2 linked regions of the Tamandua tetradactyla genome follow. The protein of the gene in region 1 purifies or fractionates together with the protein of each later gene. This does not show direct contact. Links are inferred from orthologs where the notes say so. Each region holds a gene or a part of one and is shown on either strand. Other genes may lie near its edges. The genes, in order: TCEAL1 and KDM3A.

What was found.
Region 2: the proteins of TCEAL1 (region 1) and KDM3A purify together in Homo sapiens (affinity purification with mass spectrometry; 3 studies listed by BioGRID and IntAct, counting the BioPlex papers as one, with this or other methods). This does not show direct contact. The link is inferred for Tamandua tetradactyla from reciprocal best matches to the Homo sapiens genes TCEAL1 and KDM3A.

The regions. Positions count from the first base shown.
Region 1 is NC_135353.1:69,976,893-69,984,806, forward strand, and holds TCEAL1 (transcription elongation factor A protein-like 1), read left to right. Parts: upstream 1-5,099; 5' UTR 5,100-5,285; intron 5,286-5,313; exon of another isoform or gene 5,314-5,449; intron 5,450-5,715; exon of another isoform or gene 5,716-5,855; intron 5,856-6,159; 5' UTR 6,160-6,189; coding exon 6,190-6,669; 3' UTR 6,670-7,185; downstream 7,186-7,914.
Region 2 is NC_135343.1:60,836,319-60,844,027, forward strand, and holds the start of KDM3A (lysine-specific demethylase 3A), read right to left. Parts: upstream 2,950-7,709; intron 2,537-2,949; 5' UTR 2,512-2,536; coding exon 2,335-2,511; intron 2,300-2,334; exon of another isoform or gene 2,139-2,299; coding exon of another isoform or gene 2,121-2,138; intron 1-2,120. UniProt on the Homo sapiens protein: Histone demethylase that specifically demethylates 'Lys-9' of histone H3, thereby playing a central role in histone code.

The sequences.
Region 1 (7,914 bases):
AATGTTCCGATATAGACCCTCTCATCTATGGACAATTGATCTTTGATAAGGCAGTCAATCCAACTAACCTGGGACAGAACAGTCTCTTCAATAAATGGTGCTTAGGGAACTGGATATCCATATGCAAAAGAATGAAAGAGGATCCATATCTCACACCCTATGCAAAAATTAACTCAAAATGGATCAAAGACCTAAACATTAGATCTAAGACCACAAAACTGTCACAAGAAAATGTAGGGAAATATCTTATAAATCTTATACTAGGAGGCAGTTTCTTAGACTTTATACCCAAAGCAAGAGCATTGAAGAAAGAAATAAATAAATGGGAACTTCTCAAAATTAAACACTTTTGCGCATCAAAGAACTTCGTCAAGAAAGTAAAAAGACAGCCTACACAATGGGAGACAATATTTGGAAATGATATATCAGATAAAGGTCTAGTATCCAGAATATATAAAGAGACTGTTCAACTCAACAACAAAAAGACAGACAACTGAATTACAAAATGGGCAAAAGACTTGAACAGACACTTCTCAGAGGAGGAAATACAAATGGCCAAAAGGCACCTGAAAAGAAGCTCAACTTCCCTGGTTACTAGAGTAATGCAAATCAAAACCACAATGAGATATCATCTCACACCCACCAGAATGGCCATTATCAATAAAACAGAAAATGACAAGTGCTGGAGAGGATGTGGAGAAAGAGGCACAGTTATCCACTGTTGGTGGGAATGTCAAATTGTACAACCACTGTGGAAGGCAGTTTGGCATTTCCTCAGGAAGCTATGTATAGAATTGCCATATGACCTAGCAATACCACTGCTAGGTATCTACTCAGAGGTCATGAGGGCAAGGACACAAACAGACATTTGCACACCAGTGTTTATAGCAGCATTATTTACAACTTTTACCAAGAGATGGAAACAGCCAAAATGTCCATCAACAGATGAGTGGCTAAACAAACTGTGGTATATACATACAATGGAATATTATGCTGCTGTAAGACAGAATGAAGTTATGAAGTATGTAACAACATGGATGGACCTTAAGGACATCATGCTGAGTGAGATTAGCCAGAAACAAAAGGATAAATACTGTATGGTCTCACTGACATGAACTGACATTAGTGAATAAACTTGGAGAATTTCATTGGTAACAGAGACCATTAGGAGATAGAAATAGAGTAAGATATTGGGTAATTGGAGCTGAAGGATACAGATTGTTCAACAGGACTGACTGTAAAATCTCAGAAATGGATAGCATAATACTACCTAAATGGAATACAATTATGTTAAAACACTGAATGAAGCTGAATGTGAGAATGATAGAGGGAAGAGTGCTGGGGGCACAAATGAAATCAGAAAGAAGGACGATAAAGACTGAGATGGTATAATGTAGGAATGCCTAGAGTGTATAATGATAGTGAGTAAATGTACAAATTTAAAAAATGTTTTTGTATGAGGAAGAACAAAGGTATGTCATTACTGCAGGGTGTTGAAAACAGATGGTAATTAATATTTTAAAATTTTAACTTATTGGTGAGACTAAAGCAAAAAAAATGTTTATTTGGTACAAAATTTATATTTGACTAGGGCATTTCCTAATATAACTTATGTAGACAGCTTAGTTGAATACCATAAGTACATGGTACCTTGAGTAGGGCATGAGATTTTGTTGGATTGTCCAAAGTGATGCCCCAATAAATCCCAGAGTTATTTGAACAGTGAATAAAAGAGTATTTGTAAAGTCCCCTTCGGGGAATGGTGAGAAATGGGGAAAATTCAACCTCCCCAAGTTGAATTCTTGATATTCTCACAAGCAGTGCAGACAACCAAAGCTATAGGCTGAGCCCCCAATCTTGGGGTTTGTTCATATGAAACTTAACCCCACAAAGGATAGGTCAAGCCTACTTAAAATTAGGCATAAGTGTCACCCCCAAGAGAACCTCTTTTGTTGCTCAGATGTGGCCTCTCTCTCCAGTCAATACAACAAGCAAACTCACTGCCCTCCCCATGTCTACATGGGACATGACTCCCAGGGATGTAGACCTTCCTGGCAACGTGGGACAGAAATCCTAAAATGAGCTGAGACTCAGCATCAAGGGATTGAGAAAACCTTCTCAACCAAAAGAGAAAGAGCAAAATGAGAAAAAAGAAAGTGTCAATGGCTGAGAGATTCCAGAGTCGAGAGATTATCCGGGAGGTTATTCTTACTCATTAAATAGATATTACCTTGTCAGTCAAGATGTAATGGAAGGCTGGAGGGAACTGCCTGAAAATGTCCAGCTGTGTTCCAGTAGCTATGTTTCTTGAAGATGATTGTATAATGATACAGCTTTCACAATGTGACTGTGTGATTGTGAAAACCTTGTATCTGATATTCCTTTTATCTACCTTATCAATAGATGAGTAAAACATATGGAATAAAAATAAATAATAGGGGGAACAAATGTTAAAATAAATTTAGATTGAAATGCAAGTGATCAATGAAAGGGAGGGGCAAGGCATATGATACGTATGAATTTTTTTCTGTTGTCTTTTTATTTCTTTTTCTAAATTGATGCAAATGTTCTAAAAAATGATTGTGATATATGAATTACTGATTACATATGTAGAACGGAATGATCATAAGTTAGGAATATTTGCATTTGTTTGTTGTTATATATATATATTTTTTAAATTATTTTAAAAATTGAAATCAATTACAGAACTGTATTGACAGCTGAATATATGAAACAAAGATTTGGGGTGTTTCAGTTGAGTGTAATTTAAACTGCATTCAACTGTGTGATATTGCATCCACAAAATCTACTATGATGCTAGGATATATCAATAGTTGAATAGCATCTATTCAAGAATGAAGGAGAGGATAGTATAACTTTATTGTACATTAGGGAGAATATACAGTATTTCAGAGAAATTTACAATTTAATGAGCATGTAGGATTGTGAGTAACTTTGGAAAAATGTATTTTTTCAGATACAGCTGAAATAACTGGGGAGATTAAACCTCCAAAAAAATGTCTTTGTGAAAACATAATTGTTTAAGGATTACATGAGATAACACTGAAAACACATACCACAATGTATGACATAACTAAGTCTCAATTCATATTAGTAATGTTATTAGCCCAGTGTCATACCCTTATTATTATTATTACAGCTAATGCTTATAGAGTGCATTCCATGTGCTAGGCACTATTCCAGGTCCTTAACATATATTGACTCATTTATTCCTCTTACCAATACTGTGAGGTAGGTACTATTATTGGCTCCAATTTTGTAGATGAGGAAGTTGAGTCATGAAAAGAATTGGTAGATTGCGTTATGTGTGTCATGGATGGGAAGGGGCCAGAATGAAGACATAAACTCTGGCAGTTTCAGACTATCAGGGGTAAAATGTACTTTTATTATTTTATACTTGTTCTGAACTACTCCAGAGGGCAGAAACAGGACCAATGTGTGTAAACTACTGGGAGACAGATTTCAGTTTAGTAGAAGAGAAAAAAACTCCGAATGATCACAATTATCTGTAATTTCAAAAGGATGTCTTATAAGGTACTGAGTTCTCCCTCAAAGAATATCAAAAAGAAAAAAAAAAGAAGAGAAATTAGTAAATGAATGAAATGGGACTCCTCTTGGAAAGAAACTGTAACCATGAGAAACCCAGCCCTTGTTGAAGAATAACAAAGGTATAGTGAAACTTGGCTTTAAAGACAAACATCATCAAAAAAAAAAACAAGAAAAAGGAACATGAAAAAACAAATAATAAATTTAAAAAGACAAGCATCACTGGAAAATTGAATATTAAAACAGTGATGGGAAAGATATAAAGGTGAACTAATGTCTGTCTAGCTGCTATCTCAACACAAAGTAAATTAGATACCAGAGAAAAGCATCAAAAAGTTCTTAAAACAGGAAACTTCATGTACAAATTTCTGGTTTTGAAACTTATTAGACAGTCTGGATTTGATAAAAAAGAAAAACCCAGTATTATCAGAGATCTGATGGTCACTGGCCCTGAAAGTGTACGACATGGAGAAAAGAAGAGGGGTAGCCTGCTCCCTGTGAGAAAGAGTAACTGCTTGAGATGGTAGTATCCAAGCTGATGTGAGTAAGTGAGAGACAGGCATGGGGTCAAAGATCATTAAAAATCCACTAGATTCAAAAATATATACTTGTAGTAACAATGGAGAATGTTAGCATGATTTTAATCCTATTACTCCGTGTGTGGTCAACAAAATGATTGCATAGTACAATACTGAATGTCCTCTGTGCCTCATCTATCTTTTTGGGTCAGGCAGTGCCAGGATTCTAATATTTGTTGATTTAATTCATTATTAATACAAACTTTCTTGACCTGCAGCACCAAAAGGAGGCTAGTTAAGAACTTAAGAGTTTCAGCAAAATCTTTCATCTGTTGTGAATGATTGTTTACTAGTTGCATGTTTTAAAATAATAATGCCATGTTCTCCACCAAGATCTCTCCTGTTTCAGATAACAAATGGATTTTCAGGACTATTTGAACTTAGACAAAAGTATATTTTGATTTATAAAAATCAAAGTATTCATCGTTTTTAGATTTACACCCTTTACAGACTTAACTCTTTCTAGAGTATTTTTATCAGAGTATATTTTAAATGAAAAACATAATTTATTTTGCTCTGTATCAAAAATTCTAGATGCAAAGAGCTGAAAGATTAGACTGCATCTTCTATTAGTGATGGCTCAAAGAAGCAAAACATAGATGTCAAGGAAAAGTGAAAGACTGTCACGAAAATAACAAGAAGAGGTGAAAACATTATGATAGAGCCTAAATGGACACGATGGAGTTATGGATATCGATTAAAACTGGGAGAGAAGGGAGTTAATATTGATTCATGAAGGTAAAATAGTCACATTTCAGTGTAGCATCTGGGCTGCGGGGGAAATAGTGGGCCTTGGTAGCTGAGGAAGGGGGGGTATGTGGGAAGAGAGGTGGTATTAGAGGAAGCAGCTGAGAGGAAAAGCAGTAAATCCCAAGATTACACGCTAGCGGTCTCGGGTAACAGAGAAAGGCAAATATAAACAAAGAGAGGTGAGTGACAATGCTTTGTGTGTTCAGCTGGCTGCAGCAGCACGGCCCTGGGTCAAAGCCCTGTAAGTGGGGATCAGAGCTCTGCGGTGACGCGCGGCTCTCACGTGACCAGGAGCCTAAGTCTGCCCAAGTCGCTCTCGTCCTGGTCCTATTTGCCTGTCCAGACACCATCTCCCCATTGCCCTCTGGTCGTGGGGAAAAGCAGAAGGAAGTAAGTTCCCTCGATACCCTTAAATCGGTGTGAGAGTCGATGCTGCCTAGTAACCCGTGGGATACCGACAGCAGAGAGCTCAGGCCTTTTCCCTACGCTTCAGACCCGCCCCCCGCGTCCATATTTAGGTGCAGAAAATGGCGTTCTTGGGGTGGGGTGGAGAGGTGAGTGGGTCCCTGAGGAGGGACACACAGACACTTAGAAATAGGTTCTAAATAAGCCTTCTCATCAACTTCCCGCCTGAGAAAAAGTGACGCTTACTGCGAGGTGTGGGGCTGGGGTGGAGAGGACGAGACTTGGTATGGAGTAAGTGGGGCGAGAGAGGTGAACACGAAGCCAGAGACACCGGCCTGGGGGCGAATGCAGCGAGTGCCCAGAGAAGGGCGTGTGCCAATCAGTCCGTCCGTTCTCCCCACACCCCGCTCCCTACCCTGTCTTGCGTCTGTCTGCAGGTGGGCACGTCACAGCAGTGCACCTCAAGGAGAGGTCGGCGAGGAGCAAACCGCCAGGAGAGGTCCAGGTCGGAGGAGGGATGGGCACTGGAGGGGGACACGGGTGCGGGGGCTGACGCGGAACTGAATGGAGTCTGCGGGCCCCGTCGCCCCGCCCCTATCACTGCGGGAGAGGTCTACGGAAAGGCCTGCTGGGAAAATGGTGGGCTTTGGGGAGTCAGGAGGAAACAGGGCGCCAGAGAGAGAGAGAGAGAGAGAGAGAGAGAGACACGGGCCCGCAGAAGCAGACAAAGCCTCTCAGTGATTATAGATTTGAGGTACTGGGCCCCGAATCGAGAAAAGGCAGATATTGGAAGCCATAGCCGGGATTTTGGCCCATCCACCAGGTACGTGACTTTACTTTGCCTTTCTTGTCTCCTAAGAATAACTGCTTAAAGGAGAGCATTCTCAACATGGAAAAACCATGCAAAGAAAATGAAGAACAGCCACCGAGCACGCCAAAGATCAATGAGGAGCAGCCTCCTGTGGAGCACCCTCCCACAAAGCACTCCCCGGAGGAACAATCTTCGGAGGAGCAATCCTCAGATGAGGAGTTCTTTCCGGAGGAACTCCTTCCTGAGCTCCTTCCTGACATGCTACTTTCTGAGGAGCGCCCTCCTCAGGAGAGCCTTTCTAGGAAGTACCTTTTTGAGGAGCGCCCTCCAATGGAGCAGCCTCCTTGTGGAGTAGGAAAACATAAGCTAGAAGAAGGAAGTTTTAAAGAAAGGCTGGCGCGTTCTCGCCCACAGCTGAGAGGGGACATACATGGCAGGAATTTAACCAATGAAGAGATGATAAAGGCAGCAGATGACATGGAAGAGATGAAAAGAGTAAGAAACAAACTGATGATAATGCATTGGAAGGCAAAACGAAACCGTCCTTATCCTATTTAATGTTGTATTATGCCTTGAATAGTGTTTTATCTGATATTAGTATTGCCACCTGAACTTTATGTTTGCATTTTCTTATAGACTGGTTCCCATCTTAATTTTAACTTTGTGCGTGCTTTGTTTTAGGTATTTCTCTTGTAACTGGCATACAACTTTTTATTCTCCTATAGTCTACACGTCTCCCTCTTTCCAACATGAATTTCACCTATATGCATGGGGAAATGTACTTTATATAGTAAAGTGAAAACAACAGTTTTCAAAAAGTATATATAGTATCCCATCTTTGTAAAAAGTACTTGTATATTTATATATTAACCTGCAAAGAAAAAACTGAATGTATATACACCAGAAGCTTAACAATGGCTATCTGTGTTAAATAATAGGTATTTTATTTTGTTTTTTATTTTTACTGTATATGAATTTGTTAGTTTTTCAAGATGAACTTGTATCACATGCTCAAAAAAACAACACAATGATATAATGAAAATATGTGAAGCAATAAAAAACTCATTCAGCTCATATGGCAAATGGGGGACTTAATAAATGCTTGTAAGAACTTAAAAAAAGAAAAAATATATCCCAAGTTTCTTCTGAATTTCTTAAGTAGAAATATGAGCCAGGTATTTATTACATGTTTAAGGGTCGGTCATTTCCCAGCTAAGTAGGAGTAATACCTGCCTTACTGAGCTGTTGTGGACCCAAATGAGATAAAGATTTTGTGACCTGTGCTTGTCTCTTTCCCCCACTTGCACATACAGGACTTCAAGCCCTATAGATTCCCTTCAGACATAAGGGATAGTAAAGAGGTCTCACTAGTGCTCACAAACAGCTCCTGTGAGACTCCAAGTGAGTATCACATTCTGTTCCTTTTCTGTTCCGCTGTTCCCTTAAATACTGCCATATCTGATAGGCACAGCTGACTATCAAACAGAAACATGCCAAAGTACTTGGTAAGACTGTGCAAACACACACACACATATTTATCAGATATTATAATTTGTCCATTAAACTACCTTTATAAAACCTAAGTTTTTTTGTTGATCCTGATAATTCTAGAAACACAGGTGGTAGTTACTTTTTTTAAAGTTATTACTCCGTTAAGATCCCTAAGTTCTTGAATCTATATCCTTGTTTAACTGGAAAAGCTTCATTAATTGTGTTCACTTCTCTAGAAAGTGTGGTTTATATTTCCAAAAAGGAAACCAGCGGGGGAAGTATTGTTTTCCCAAATTAAATATTAAAATTGCT
Region 2 (7,709 bases), on another chromosome or scaffold:
GTAACTCTCAAAGTTACAAAGTCACTCTCAAAGTAAAGCAGATTTAACAAGCCTTGGCCTCATTAGTATCATCCTCAGTCAACTAAGCCAGCCAGCCTAGACAAACTTATACTGGTACTAGAACATTTCACACTTCTCCAATTCTATTTATTTATTCACCTTCAACTTAGCACCATGCTCCACTCCCAAACAACCTCATCATCCATAAACCCAGGTGTAAGCCTGCCTAAACCTCACCAAGTAAAATTGGATCTGTGTTTTATAATCCTACTTTTTTTTTGTTAACACAATAAGGCAATTACTTCATCTTCAATGTAGCAATAACTTATGACTGCTAAAAAGAGTACATCTGGTGCTGAGTTATGAAATCTACAAATAAGGTAAAAAAAATCAAATACAGTTGAAATTATTAATGAATTGAAATATCTGCTACTTCTACACTAGTCATCTTAGTGCAGTAAAGACAAAGCCATGTGTCTCGAGAGTTGCAAATCCTGCCTTAATCACTTAGAGGCCAATTGTGAAATTCCAGACAAGACTCCTTTTCCTAAATCTATTTCCTCATTTTGCAAATAAGGATACCACCACTACCTCAAAGTTTGGGAAATGAGAGCATAAAGATTAAAAAGAATACCTGCGTAAGAACCTCTCAGATTGCCTATCTAGCCGAAAAGGCCCTCAATCATTGTCAGGGAAGGGAACACCAAGTCTCTCATCTACCAAAGAACTAAAAACTACAAAGTCTAAATCAAACCTTGTTTCCAGTCAAATCTGATAAAAACAAATGCTCTAAAGAAACCTGTACTTGGTAGGTGAAACAAGCCACAACAATGATGACTGAAATCTAATACTCAAAAGGCTACTTTTTGTAGAAAGGTCACTGACCAAAGGAGAGAGACTGGTTATCCCTGAACCACACTACACACTATCTAAATGTCCAAGTTTGCTAGAAGAATAAGTAGGAAGGAGAAAACCGAACTTTACAATGTATGACAAAAGCCCTTCTGTGGTACAACCTCAGTAATACAGGCTGGGATTGAAAAGGATGGCTCCTGGAGTCCAAACTTCCTGGGATATCATATAGGATATCCCAATTCCTAGGTATTTGAGCTTGGGCAGCTTGGGTACTTCCGTCTGTCAAACAGGAGCAATATTATTCCCTACTCCCAAAGACATGCTGGAAGGATTCAAAAAGATGATGGCTATGATATGTTCACATGACTCCTGGCATGCGGTTAAGGTGCTCGATCGTCACTCCTTTTAATCATGAACACAAGGTACACTGCAAAGTTCAAAAATAGAACCACACATCCCTCTTCCCACAACACCTTGCTGGTTTGGGCATGAACTGTCACCCTGAAAGTGTTAAAATTAACTTATGTTTCAGAAATCAACACATATTGACTGCTAACACCAAAACTTGCTTCCCGTATTTGAGCAGTTTTCAAGAAAAAACAAAGATGATTACCAAATGAAGGTACAGAAAACAAGATATTTACTACCCAGAGAGGAAATATCTTCCATTCTGTCAAGCTTCCTTCAAGTTATCACTAGCACAGTCTTTGTGAGGGAGCATTTTGGGGGGTTATTTTTTGCACAAAGGAGTCTTTGTTGGTACAGTGGCTTCTTCTCTGGTTGTACCCAGACAACGTTTTCACATTGATGGGTTAGGGAGTAAATCGGAATTCAACTCTCTTTGAAAAGATCAGACTGAAAATGGTTCGGAGTGTCATTCTGATTAAAAATCACTGGCTGTACTAGGTCCCATCCCCCCCCCCCATCCCTCCCCATACACCCAAGTGGAATATTTTGAGGCCCTTCCTCCAATACACCATATATGGGGCAGCTCCACCCCATCCTTACAGATGTGGTCATCTTCCACACCCACCCACAGACCCCATCCCGTAGCATCAGGAACCCACTCCTGACCTGACCCACCATCTACGGACACACACACACCCTAATTCGCCAAAAACACGAATAAGCTCCTCCCTCTACCTTCCCGCTTCATTTCTAACAAGCCTCAAAGTTTAAAAAGTTGAACAAGAAATTAAGTGTAACCAACCAACCATACCAAACAACTGAAAACCCTTCCAAGCCACTACCCTCCCTGTTCTTACCATGATTTTAGTCGTCATCCACTTGCCCACCTTAATTCTCCCAATTACCCCACCTTTGGAGCGATAATCGAGCGCGTTTGCACCACCTCGAACCCATCATCCAACAGTGCCGGCGCTGTGCAGTCCCACCAGGGTCTGGTTTTCGGCACCCTCGGATCACGCCAACTTTCAGAACGGGTAGGGGGCAGTCGCAGGGGGCGTCCCGAGGGGTTACCTTCAGGTCCTTCTTGGTGACGTCCGTGTGGGACACGGCCCGGATGGTGCCCGAGAGCCAGGGCCACTCGGCGACGCGCTCCACGTCCCAGCGGTCGGAGCCGCCTTCGGCCGCGCTCAGGCTCAGGAAACGCTTCCCCACCAGCGCCGGGCCGCCCTCCCCGAGCGTCAGCACCATCGTCCCGGCTCGCGGGGAGGGTCGCCTGCGACACGCGAAGAGGCGTGAGACGGGAGCGGCCGCTCGAGCCCGGCGCCAGGAACGCAAGCGCGGGCGGCGGCCGGACGCGGGGGCCCGGGAGTCCCCGGCCCCCTCCCCCCCGAACACGCGGACCCCGAAGCTGCGCCCCCGCGCTCGCCCAAGTTTCGCTTCGCCCAAATCTGAAGCCTGAGCGCCGAGGGAGTGAAGGGAGCCCGGCTTGCGACTCAAGTGAATTTCCAGGGGCTCGCCCCTCACCCGGGGCGGAGGCGCCTTCTGAGGGAGGGCCGGGTCGTCACCGCCCCAGGCACCCCGCGCTCGCCCGCGCCCCTCCCGGCCCCCAGGCGCCCTCTGCCACGGCCTGCCGGCCTGCCTCCCTGCCGCCGCCGCCCTTCCCCGACCGAGGCCGCGGTGCCTCACCCCGCCTCCCGCCTCCTGAGTCACCCGCGGCGCAGCCGCTCGCAACCGCCCGCAGACTCCAGCCGACTTGGTGCCCCGGCCTCGCAGGACGCGCACGGCCCCCGGACCCGCCCCCTCAGAGCCGCTGCCGCGGCTCATTGGCTTGCCGGGGGCCGCTGGGCGGGGCCCGTAGGAAGACAGCTCATCACCATTGGCCGGCCTGGCGAGGGAGGGGCGACAGAAAAAAACAATTCCTTGGCGGCCCCGCCCTTTCCCCTCCCCCTTCCGACTCCAGGGCGACCCCCATTAGTTGAAGTACGCAAAACCCGAGCGAGAGATCCCTCCGCCACAGTCCCATTCTTCCCGTTTGCTGCCTCACGAGATGCAAAAAAGTCCCGCAAATCAGTTATCAACTTTGGGACCCTGAGGAAGATCGCCGTGGCGCACAAACAAGACTTGAGTGTCGAAACCTGGCCGTAGGTCCCTATTGGATCGTTCTCCGAGTGCGCAGGCTGTCAACCAAAATGGGTCTGCCATATGCGGAAGAATCTCACAGGAAAGGGTGAGGGCGGTGCGAAGTCTGAGGGGGAGGGAAGGACGGGGACGTGCGGTTTCAGGCGTACTCAACCCGGGGGAGGAGCGACGGCGTTTCGGGGCTCCTGCGCAGGCGCGAAGCGGAAGGGGGCGCTGGGCCTGCTGGTCGAGATGGCCGCGGGAGGCGCAGGCGCACGTGCTGTTGCTCGTGGAACGTCTGAAGTCCGCCATTTTGAAGGAAGATGAAGAAAGGCGTGGAAGCATCGGGAAATGATGTTCACTAAGAGCAAAAGAGGTCGGTGGGTACAATATAGAAAGGTTTTTTTTAAAACAAAAGGGGGAATGAAATCATTTTCTGAGATTTACAAAGAAATTGAAAGACTAGATGAAGGCAATAATGATGGAAGAGATATGAAAGGTGAAAAGGAGGTGACTTTGAAGGACAAAGGAGGTAAGAACTGATTCTGTGTTTTGGACCTCAAGTTTTTTTGTGGAATAATGAAGAAGACATGGAATGAATTGAAGACTTATTGTTTTATAGAGACGTTGAGCCTGACATAGCATCACATTTAATCCTCAAAATAACGAATGAAGTGCTAGTGTTTCCAGTTTTATGGTGTGAAAACTGATCATCTGAAAGAGTTCAGAAAATTATTCAAGGGATCGCAGTGCAAATTAATACCACATGTTGATTTTAACTCTACATGCTTTGAATATGCAACATGAAGAAATTTTTTAGAGTTAAGATTGAACTCTAGAAGAATTAAATTGGATTTACACATCATTAAAAATGGGGGAAATAGAAAAATAAACCTATCCAATCCAACAAAATGCAGTAATGAGGAGAAGGAAAATAAAACACCAGACATATTGTCAATAGAAAGAATGAAGGGGGGAGTTAAGTGCAAACATCAATGTTTACAATAAGTATAAATGGGTTAATTTTACTCAAAAGTTTTAAAGCTTGAATAAAAAACGAAATCCAAACTATAAATTGATTCCAAACAACACTCCTACAGAAACATAAGCTTGAAAATATTGAGGAAAAAAAGGAGTTTTACTAATTAAATTATGGTAAAAGGAAATCAGTATAGTAAATTAATATAAGTAGTTGCAAATAGCATCAAAAGAGAAAAGGATTTATGTTAAGAAAATATAAAGTCCGTGAAGATACTATTAACTTCTGAGCTATTATGACTCTAACAACATAGTTTAGCCTAACTTAAGACTAAACTATTGGAACTGTGAGAAAACTTTTAACAAATTTATAGTAAGAGTAGAAAACTTAAATACATTTGCCCCAGAAATAGGGAAAGTCAAGTAGATTTTTTAAATAAGTGAAGATGTGGAAGACTTAAATTGGGTAATTAACTATTAATCTAAAAAAAAAAATTGTTAAGGAACACATTCGACCAAACTTCAAGGAACGTATAATTCCTCTGGTGTATGCGCAGTACCAGAACTTAGGAGAGGTAGAAAGCAAGTCAAAACTTTTGGCATGACTGAACTTAAAAATGTTAAATGTAGGTTGAACTTTGAGTATAAACCACAAAACTTGTAAGAAAAAAAAATCTAAAGTATTAATTAGTAGCTTTTTCCATTGAGTTTTAAAATATGTCATTTTGTTCACTCGTTGAACTAATGAATTTCAGTGGTCTTTATACTGCTCTTTGGATTTATTTCAGACTGCTATGTAGGGAAACAAATGGTTCTTTCATGTTTATAGCTTCCTGAAGTTTGCTTTTGTAACAATTATTTTTAGTGTATTTCTTGTCATGTACATTAAATCTTTTGATACTGTGTGCATGCCTTCTTTTCTCAGTAGTATCAGTATTGTGTGATAAAAGCTGAAAATCAGCAAATGCTGTTTTTTGTTTAAGGAAATTTTAGCTTGTTTCAGAACACAGTACTTGGTTCAGTGTGAATTGAGGCATTCCTCTTCCTCAGCTTCACAAGTAGTCTCAAGTGATAACAGTGTTTAGTATAGATTCCTGTGATGATTTTCGTCCTTAAAGCTGCACTGCATTAACTTTTACTGATTCCTTCTTTGTAAGATATTTGCTGTAGATTATGATTTTGATTTTACCTTTTCCAGATTGTTATAACAGGTATTTTTTTATTATGACTCATAGAGAACCAATGTTTTGTTTGTTAATATACTAAACATGAAGTTTGGTGTGTAGCTCATATAACAGAGTAATTCTCTAGGCACAAAAAATAAAATGAAAGCTAGCCAATACATTTTATAAAACTACCCAAACTGATTACCAAATCTAAACCAAGAGAGCACTAGAAAGGAAACCTATACTTCAATTACACTTATGGACATAGAAGAAAAAATCTTATAAAACATCAGCAAGTCCAGCAGTATATTTTTGAAGTAACCACAATGATGAATAAGGATTATCCTATGAATATAAGGATATTTCAAGATTAAGAATTACTATAATTCACTATTTCACAGCTTAAAAGAAAAGTATGTTCATTTAGTGGAAGTGTATGCACTTGCATTGAACACCTGTTTGTGATTTTAAAAGTGTTTCTAAATTTCTTAGAAAACCAGAAGTATTAAGAGTACGTATTTACATTCATCACCCATTCATGATTTTAAAAATATTTTTAAACTTCCTAGAAAGCTAAGAATGTAAGATATCTGTCTTAGAAAACATATGAACTAGGAGACAACTACAAGGTTATTCATTTCAGCATTGTTTGTTGTGAAAAAATTTTTTGATTAGGGAATGAATAAATACAATAATATCTGTATTTACATGATGTAATATTGAATGTTAGAGTATTTGAAAAGGAATGAAATATTTAGATGTACCAATAAGGAGAGATCACCGAAACACATTTTGAATGAAAATGAAAATTCAATTGAGTGCTGTTTTAAAATACACTAACAAAACAATAGTGTATATTTTCTATGAAACATTAAAACTCATAATGATGATAACTGGAGGATGCATATTAGAATTGAGGGTATTAGTCAAAAATGTGTTAACTTTATATGTAATTCATTCTTATAACATGAATAGGTTTACATATTACTTTTGAAATTTAAAATTAATTTTAAAATCCTATTACTGCATTTAACTACATTAACAGATTAAAGGAGAAGATGTATATTATCTCAGTAGCTGTAAAAAAAAAAAAGAAAAGCACTTGTAAAGTTTTACTTTCATCATTCGTTACAAAATACTCCTAGCAGACTATGAATAGAAGGAAACTACCATAATTTTGTAAAGAATGTCTATCAGAAATATACTTAAATGTCATACTTAATTGTAAAAATTTAGAAGGATTCCCACTGAAGTCAGGAGCGAGATCCAGATATGCAATGATGTCACTGCCATCAAACTATAGTGGAGGTTAATTGCTAATACAATAAGACAAGCAAAATAAATAATAAAATATAAACGTTGGAATGGAGGGAAAAATTCCACAGAATTTGTAGGTAATTTAGGGCCACTATTGATGAATTATTAGACCTAGTACGTGAGTCAAGGGTGGTGCCATAAAAGATTAACAAACAAGAATCCTTCTTTAATGAGCCTCGATCATGACAGTCAATAGAAAAAAAGAGAAACCGTATCTGATAATAAAAGCTACAGAACAACTAAGAATAAGTTCAAGAAATGAACAAAACTCATGAAAAAAACTATGACTTTACTGTCATGTAAAAAGATTTAAGACATTCCATCTCTTTATATGGAATGACTTGATAAAGTAAAGATGTCAGTTCTCCCCAGATTAAATGATAATTACAATGAATGAATGAATCAAGAAAGAAGTATGGAAATAGTTAAGATAATATGGAGACAGATCCATGTGTATATGAGAAATTGGATTATAATTAATACAACATTTCCAGTAAGTGTGAAGAGTATACTTTTCAATATATGCTGCTGGGTCTATTAATTAGCCATTCAGGAAAAGAAAAAATCAGATTCCTAAAGCAGCATTCACATAAGTATGTTCCAGATGGATCAAAGAGCTAAATATTAAAAATCCAGCAAAGTGTTTTAAGATCACTGTCCCTTTTCTTCCTTTTTTTCCTCCTCATGAGTAATTCAGTTTTATCCTTTAAGTTACACTTAATAGTACTCTTCAATTCTGTGCCCTCCTCCAGATCACCCTCTGCTGTCTTTCTTTTTTACAACTGACTGAACTCCCTTTAGTATTTTTGTAGGTCTGGTTTCTTGTTGATGAATTCTTTCAGGATTTGTTTGACTATGAAAATTTTA